Linked DNA regions of Arabidopsis thaliana. The protein of the gene in region 1 interacts with the protein of each later gene in a pairwise test. Each region holds a gene or a part of one and is shown on either strand. Other genes may lie near its edges.

The links. Proteins that work in one complex are often made in the same cells at the same time.
Region 2: the proteins of BBX13 (region 1) and BBX29 interact in a two-hybrid assay, tested with the Arabidopsis thaliana proteins (one large-scale study listed by BioGRID).

Annotation. Positions count from the first base shown.
Region 1 is NC_003070.9:9,774,993-9,780,001, reverse strand, and holds BBX13 (B-box type zinc finger protein with CCT domain-containing protein), read left to right. Parts: upstream 1-1,958; 5' UTR 1,959-2,344; coding exon 2,345-3,130; intron 3,131-3,321; coding exon 3,322-3,489; intron 3,490-3,773; coding exon 3,774-4,018; intron 4,019-4,131; coding exon 4,132-4,234; 3' UTR 4,235-4,480; downstream 4,481-5,009. Other genes in the region: AT1G28060 (Pre-mRNA-splicing factor 3), read right to left, coding at 1-245, 359-835.
Region 2 is NC_003076.8:22,113,804-22,117,165, forward strand, and holds BBX29 (B-box type zinc finger family protein), read right to left. Parts: upstream 1,737-3,362; 5' UTR 1,513-1,736; coding exon 1,018-1,512; intron 934-1,017; coding exon 781-933; 3' UTR 501-780; downstream 1-500.

The DNA.
Region 1 (5,009 bases):
TGCAATTGTAGTGCTTTCCTAGCTTTCGCTGCTAACGCTGATGAATCAAGAGGCAAGTTTGCACTACTTTTCCCAGCTGTGGACAATGGTCTTCCATCTGTACTAGATTTTCCAGGAACCTCATGAGATCTGACAACACTAGCCTTATTTTCATCCGTTGTAGATATCGAAGATACCTTAGTGAGCAGTGTTTGACTAGGGGCAGCAGAAGCTTCCGATGGAATAGAACTATATGTAGAGGCTCCCTGCACAAAAAAAGAAAATGCAAGCATTAGCTAGCGAAGAAGACTAGAGGTAATCATGAACAAATCGCAAGTAGCAAACAAAGAAGATTAACGAAAAGGTATAAAGAACTCACCATCGTAACGCCACTGGTTGGATTCGTAGCCCCAGAACCCTCAGAGACTTGAGCATCTTTGTTCTCAACTTCAATAGCCACATCCTCAAACCTGCTCCTCCTCTCACCATTCCCATCAGCAAACCTAGATTTCTTCTTCCCATCCCTAGCCCCATTCTCTTCCTCTCTATCTTTCCTCTTGCTCCTCGATTCCTTCTCTTTACTACCTTCGTGAGACCTCTCATGGTGATGCTTTTCCCTATCTCTACTCCCTTCTCTCTCGCCTCGCTCTACAGATCTCCCTCTTCTATCCTTGGTCCTATCTCTCTCATCTTCCCTATCGCCGCGCCTCGATGAACGGTAGTGATCTGAATCACGACGCTTCGAATCAACATCGCGGTCACGGCGGCGTCCTCCTTCACGTTGTGGAGAATGGTCGGGACTCGAATCTCGATCACGATCGTCACGGTGGCTCCTGGAATATCTCTCCTTATCCATGGCAGAATTTAGGGTTTATTCCTAACAACAATTTGCTTCTGATTCGCCGGTCCTATAAATATACGAAAATTCACAACCGGAATAAACCAGCGATTCAGATTAGAACCAAAACGACCAGCGAAACCAAGTTCTGAATCAGATTTTTGTTCCTTCCGGAAAAATCCTAAAGGGAGCGAAACGATACCGGATCCGGAAGATATATAATCCAATCACCGGACTACAAGCTTCCCTTATGGGCTGAAGCCCATTTTTGAGTTCCTTCTTGAGATAGTTCTTCAATTTTGAGTCTAATGGGCTTTTATATCATCTTTTACTTAAAAAAAAAAAAATCGACGATTCATCTTCTATAGAGATATATGAAAATTCAAGCTATTTATCTTTAAAAAGAAAAATATTTGATGTCAGGTCGCAGTTTTCTTACAAGCAGAAATCCAAACTCTTCATACCAACTATTTTTGGAATAAACAAGATTTCTTTGCCAAGAGTTTTCATACCAACTATTTTTTGGATAAATAAGATTTCTTTGCCAAGAGATTTCCACAAGTTGACCACAAATTAAACATTCGATCAAAACTCAAGAATTCAAATATAGAAGTATATAACGCATATATTCCGCTTTGACTCAAAAAAGAAAAAACCCGCTCATATACTGTATTATGTATAGTCTGAATCACAAACTCTCTAACACGTGAAATTTAATGCGTTAGTCAAGAATCGTTCCGATTGTTACCACTCCCCAGGAACTTTTTCAAGATATTTATACCTCAGAATGATAGCACTTTACAAATAAGTTATACTTTTTTTCAAAACAAAAAAAAACAACTTATTGAAGTCTATGGACAAAAAGAAAATATCTAACATGAATCCTAAAATATCTTTACGATTTTAATTTTATCACATCTTTTGTCAAGAACTCGTGTGTAGCAGTTTATTATGCACATAAATATATGCTATACATTACGCTGCAATGTTCGTAAATACTAGTTCCAGAAAAAGACGATTCCAGCCGTTATTACACTGATCAAAAAGTTATTGCTATATACGGAAAGAATTAATCCCATAAAAATCATGTGCTTTGAACTAACTTTCCCTTTATACGTTAAAATAGATATTTAGGTGAAAAAGCAGATTAGATATTTTCTCTTAGATTCTCTGTCACAGTCAACGTAAGCTTCGCCGTCTGAACAATGGCGACTCTCTCAGCACGCTTTTACACCGTCAGATCTCAACATATCTCAATCTGAACAATCCATCATACACAAGTTCCATACATCGCAACACAGAAAAACAAATCCCTAACCCCAAACTGTTTACAATAATTAGCTTCGTTGTCTTCTTCATTCCAAAAGATTTGCAGATAATTTTGACAAAGCCCCCCAAAAAAAAAAAGAGTTCAAAATGAAAAACGTGAGAAATGGATTTGTCATCATTCTTCTCACCGTCCTTAGTCTCTGAAAATAAATTCTGATTTTGATTTCGAATTTTAGGGATTTTGAGAGAGAGTCAGTTATGAGTAGTTCGGAGAGAGTACCGTGCGATTTCTGCGGCGAGCGTACGGCGGTTTTGTTTTGTAGAGCCGATACGGCGAAGCTGTGTTTGCCTTGTGATCAGCAAGTTCACACGGCGAATCTGTTGTCGAGGAAGCACGTGCGATCTCAGATCTGCGATAATTGCGGTAACGAGCCAGTCTCTGTTCGGTGTTTCACCGATAATCTGATTTTGTGTCAGGAGTGTGATTGGGATGTTCACGGAAGTTGTTCAGTTTCCGATGCTCATGTTCGATCCGCCGTGGAAGGTTTTTCCGGTTGTCCATCGGCGTTGGAGCTTGCTGCTTTATGGGGACTTGATTTGGAGCAAGGGAGGAAAGATGAAGAGAATCAAGTTCCGATGATGGCGATGATGATGGATAATTTCGGGATGCAGTTGGATTCTTGGGTTTTGGGATCTAATGAATTGATTGTTCCCAGCGATACGACGTTTAAGAAGCGTGGATCTTGTGGATCTAGTTGTGGGAGGTATAAGCAGGTATTGTGTAAGCAGCTTGAGGAGTTGCTTAAGAGTGGTGTTGTCGGTGGTGATGGCGATGATGGTGATCGTGACCGTGATTGTGACCGTGAGGGTGCTTGTGATGGAGATGGAGATGGAGAAGCAGGAGAGGGGCTTATGGTTCCGGAGATGTCAGAGAGATTGAAATGGTCAAGAGATGTTGAGGAGATCAATGGTGGCGGAGGAGGAGGAGTTAACCAGCAGTGGAATGCTACTACTACTAATCCTAGTGGTGGCCAGAGTTCTCAGGTTTTGCTTATCTCTCTTTTGATTTTTTTGGCTAAGAACAGTTTAGTTTTTTCTGTTAATGAGCAAGTGAGATTAAGTGGTGAAATGTTTTTGTGTAAGGTCAAATATAGTCACTCTGTGTGGTTTTATGGTTTCTCAAGAAGATAAAAAAATGAAAGGTTTCTTAACCTGTGTTGTGAACTTGTATACAGATATGGGATTTTAACTTGGGACAGTCACGGGGACCTGAGGATACGAGTCGAGTGGAAGCTGCATATGTAGGGAAAGGTGCTGCTTCTTCATTCACAATCAACAATTTTGTTGACCATATGAATGAAACTTGTTCCACTAATGTGAAAGGTGTCAAAGAGATTAAAAAGGTAATAGTTCTCATTAACCTTAGTCATTTAAGTAGAGTAGTGTTTAAAACACAATACGTTGTCATCTCCCGTTCATCCTCAAAAATTGTTGTAGACAGTTGCTTCTTTTAGTGAATGATAGAATTCAGAACATGAAACCTAGTCAGAAAAAAGTTACAAGCTGGTTTGCTTTTCTTTGTTTTACCTCATCACCAAGCCACCAATTCTAACATTTTGGCTTATGATATATATTTGCTAGACTGCTATGCAACTTAACTGTGATGCTGATTAGGATTCTTTTGCAGGATGACTACAAGCGATCAACTTCAGGCCAGGTACAACCAACAAAATCTGAGAGCAACAATCGTCCAATTACCTTTGGCTCTGAGAAAGGTTCGAACTCCTCCAGTGACTTGCATTTCACAGAGCATATTGCTGGAACTAGTTGTAAGACCACAAGACTAGTTGCAACTAAGGCTGATCTGGAGCGGCTGGCTCAGAACAGAGGAGATGCAATGCAGCGTTACAAGGAAAAGAGGAAGACACGGAGGTAAATGCTGCTTTTTTCTTTCCCCTTTAATAATTTTTTATTGCCCATCTCCCTTAAAGAATCTGATACCATATTTCGTTTCTCCCTTTGTCTTGGATCTCGGGTGCCAACAGATATGATAAGACCATAAGGTATGAATCGAGGAAGGCAAGAGCTGACACTAGGTTGCGTGTCAGAGGCAGATTTGTGAAAGCTAGTGAAGCTCCTTACCCTTAACCTTAAGTCTCTTCACATAGGCTTCCTTTTAGCTACAAACTTAGTTACTTTTTTTACTTCCACTGCCTCATAAATGTACAGACCGGTCTCGTTTCATCTGGCCGCCCTTCTGTTTTATTGCCTTATCTGGCCCTTTTATGTACCTTGGAATCTTATCTAGTTTAAAAAAGATTGTAACCTTCTAGAAAACCATATTCTGTTGACAGTATATACATGTCTATCCAAGCATTTTGAAGTCTCACAAGCTAATACGCCTTGATACTCTTTGTTTTAAAAACCCTGACTTATGGCTGTTAATCAAAGTTTTCCAAGTCCAGTTCGCAGATGGCGAGCGGATCTGCGGCTGTGGTTCTTCGTTGCTGTTTCTTTGGTGGTTCTGGCTGTGTTGGCCAATTCAGAAGGTATAAATCTCCCTACTTAAAGAGTTACTCACAGGCGAAATTCCACAATCAGTTTATTCTAGTGTATAATACATGTAGTGGATGTTGTATAATGTTTATGCTTGAATGTCATATAGCTCTGCAGACGTGGGATCCGATGCAGGTGACAATTCTTCTTAAAAGACAACTAATTCTCTGACTTTCCTCTTAGTGACTATAAGAATAGACCAATTCTCTATTAAATTTTTCGTTTAACAATTCCCTCAATCAAGAATTCTCTTCTCTGTATTTCTCCTCTCCATCTTTATCTTACCTCTCCGAAACGCCTTGAACCCTCAAAAATGTCCTTCATCCTACTCGGATTCATATCTTAATAAATGTGAACCACTTGGAAT
Region 2 (3,362 bases), on another chromosome or scaffold:
ATACGATCAAGAAACCAAAAACTTGGATCTTCTCATTTCTCACAAAACAAATAGATTCAAAATTAGAAATAAAACCAATTTATTTAGTTACATATAAATCATGAGAGCATCATTTTTTATTTTTTTGGAGCTTCGAACACGGTTTAGATACAAAAGACACGATGGGTTCAAAGCGTTTGACAAATAAATTTTTTTTAAAAAAACTTTAAAGGAGGACCCCATGGTACTAAATATCTTCTTTTTTCTAAGTCTTGACAACTTTTTTGTTTGATTCTTTTTAGTGGTCGTAGTTACAATTTACAAAGCTAACGGACATTCATACGTTATGTACTCTTCAGTTGTAACATCACAATGACACAGACACTTCTAGTTCTGGGAAGGCAAATAAAATTGACATCATAATAAATTTTGGTTTTGGCTGGTAATCCTTCTCACGTTATAAATTTATAATAATATCTCTTGTTTCACTAATTAATTTTCTTAATCATTTTCGTTAAAAAATAAATAAATAGAAAACAGCTTCATTTTCTTAATCATTTTCTGAACAACTTTGCTTCATTTTATTTTTTATGTTATATGATTTTATACTAGACATATGAACATATATATTCTAGGTAACACAGAAAAAAAAACACAAAAAAAAATCATTATATTGAAATGTTTTTAAACTAACTCAACTCACTAAAAGTATTGTTGTTAGTAAATGAACGATGAGGATTAATCTAATCAACCAAACAAAAGAATCATCAACGGCTACAATCTCTACTTTCCTTGGCGATTTCAATAAAACGAAGACGACGATGATGTATCACATCCCTCTGCTTTTCTCCTCCCTCCGTGTAATTTCACGATTGAGCTATTCATCACAACAGTTGATCTTGACAAACCTTCGTCTCTCGATAATCTTTTCAATGGTCTAGATTGGTTCTCCTCCTGCATTTCAAAAAGAATTGTTTCAGATTTCTTAATCATTTCCTAATAATAAAAGAAGATAAAGAAAAAGATTCATATTCATACATCGGAGAGGTTAAGATCCAAATCAAGTCTCGTCCTTTTCACCACCTGATCTCCTTCACCACTACTAACCGAAGACGACGAACTCACCACCGGAAGTTCTTGCTCCACCGCAGCCGGAACAACCTGATTCTCCACTTCTTCTTCTTCTTCATCCTCATCGCTTTCCTCATCATAAGACTCAGCTCCGTCGTTACAACCAATGATCTCTTCTTCTTGGTTAAGATTCTGATCCCTCCCGGCGAGGGAGCTGTTGTTATTCTTCTTACGAGCTAAACAAGACTCACAGATAGAAACAGTTGGGCCAAGATTCAGCCCAGAAGCTTTCCAAGGCGTGTGTGACTGACACGCGCTACATAGAAGACAACGCATGTGTTTCGCCACCAGAAAATTAGCTCCGTGAACTTTACCGTCACAATCCCAACATAAACTCGCTTGATCTGACTCACAATACATTCTCGCTACACCACAACATAACTCGCACTTCTTCTTCCCCATCTCTAGATATTATCTCGCACAACCACAACCACAAGCTCTCTCTCTATGTCTATCTCTGTCTCTAGATGTTTGTGTGTTATAAATATTCTTGGTAAGGTCTTTTGCTTCTCTCTCTTCTCTCGTTTCTTCTGCGGACACGAATAAGAGACAGCGTAATAGAGAATTGTAAAATGAGAATTTCGTGGCGACTTTTATGTGATTTAATTCTTTTCGAGGATATTGTCGTCTTTTTGATATTAACGAAACGATTTTTCACGTAATTTTTTAATGAAATGCAAAGAAGCTTCCTAATTTTAAATTAGAATAAGATTAAAGGATTCGTTCAAACTTTAATTTTTATGGTGGATAATTTGTGGATAATTTTGTATTAGTAGTTCTAAATCTGTGTTTGAAATTGATTAAGGTTTCCGCGGCTGAGTATTATTCTCGAATTCTTAAATTTAGGAGAGATGATAATAATAATAAAAATTAAAGGAAATGTTGTTATTTACTTGGTCCTGAAACCATGTACTGGGACAAGGCTCTCCTATGGGCGAAGTCTTACGTGTCGAGATATTATTCGTTTTATGTTTCATCAGATATTTTTATGCGGTTAGATTTTTAGTTAATGACGTGGCGAGATATTAGCCTCGTATAGAGGAGAGGGAAGATTCTGAGTTATCCTACGTGGACGAATCAGGTTCTGTAATAGACTTAGAACCACGTGATCCGCACCTGGGATTTGTCTGGTCCTCAATACACGTCTAATGGGTCCACTCTTTTTTCTTTCATTTTTTACTTTTTTCAGTATTCCTCTCTCGTTCCGGTCCAAGCGTTTTGTTTTCGAAAATGAAAAGTGAATTAAATATCATTTATATCGTTGGTATTACGGTAGGATAATAATGATGATCGGATTTTTAATATCGCATTTTGGGTTCGGAAATTTTGGTGTCCATGAATCAACATGGTTACTAGGAGAAGAACCTAATTTTATGATTTTATCAACCACTTTTAGCGTTCCATATTTTACATAATTCGAGTTAAATGTCTTTTTCTCTAAATAAAAATAAATAAATAAATCCAACCACTAATTTTACATTTTTACTTCACATCATTGGCAATTCGATATATTACTTGTTATTTGCTAATGGTAATTAAAAAGAATATAGAATATATATTTGAAAAATTATTAAACCTGGATTAAAAAAATGAAAGGTATTACGAATTTTTATCTAAAAAACAGGATAGATAGATAGCTAAGAAGCTTGTAGTTAGACAAATATTTTTTGTCATTTCAAATGTTTACAGTTGTGAGTTTTTAAAAGAAAATCACAACGATTTTTGTATGATAGAGTTTGATCTGTGGTTTTGATCCATAGAACAAACTAATTCATCTATGATCAAAGATGAATTAATTTGATTATTTGTATTCATTTGATCAAAGGAATTAATTTGTATCACGAAATCGAGATTAAGACTAGCAAAGATGGATTGAAAGTCATTTTAGGATAACAAATAATACGTAAAATATATATAAGAACAAAAAAAATGGTAAAGTTGGGCCTACGTAACATGCTTGAGAAATTTTTACGTGGCGAAGATTAGTGGTGTAAAGGGTGAAGTGTGAATTGTGAAGAATCAAAGGAACACGAGATGTCTTCATTTGAGAGCCACATGCATTAAAAAAGCGCTGATGAGTGGAGGTGTTTTGAGTTTTATGGTTTTTTGTTTTTTTACTTTTAAATGTTTGTGGATGACAACTTTAGAACAACTTAGAAGAAGCCTCGAATCAATACACATCTATCTTACGAATTACTCCTTATTTTTTGTTAGTTCTTTTCCATTTATGTTTTCTTTTGCAAGTTTCTTTA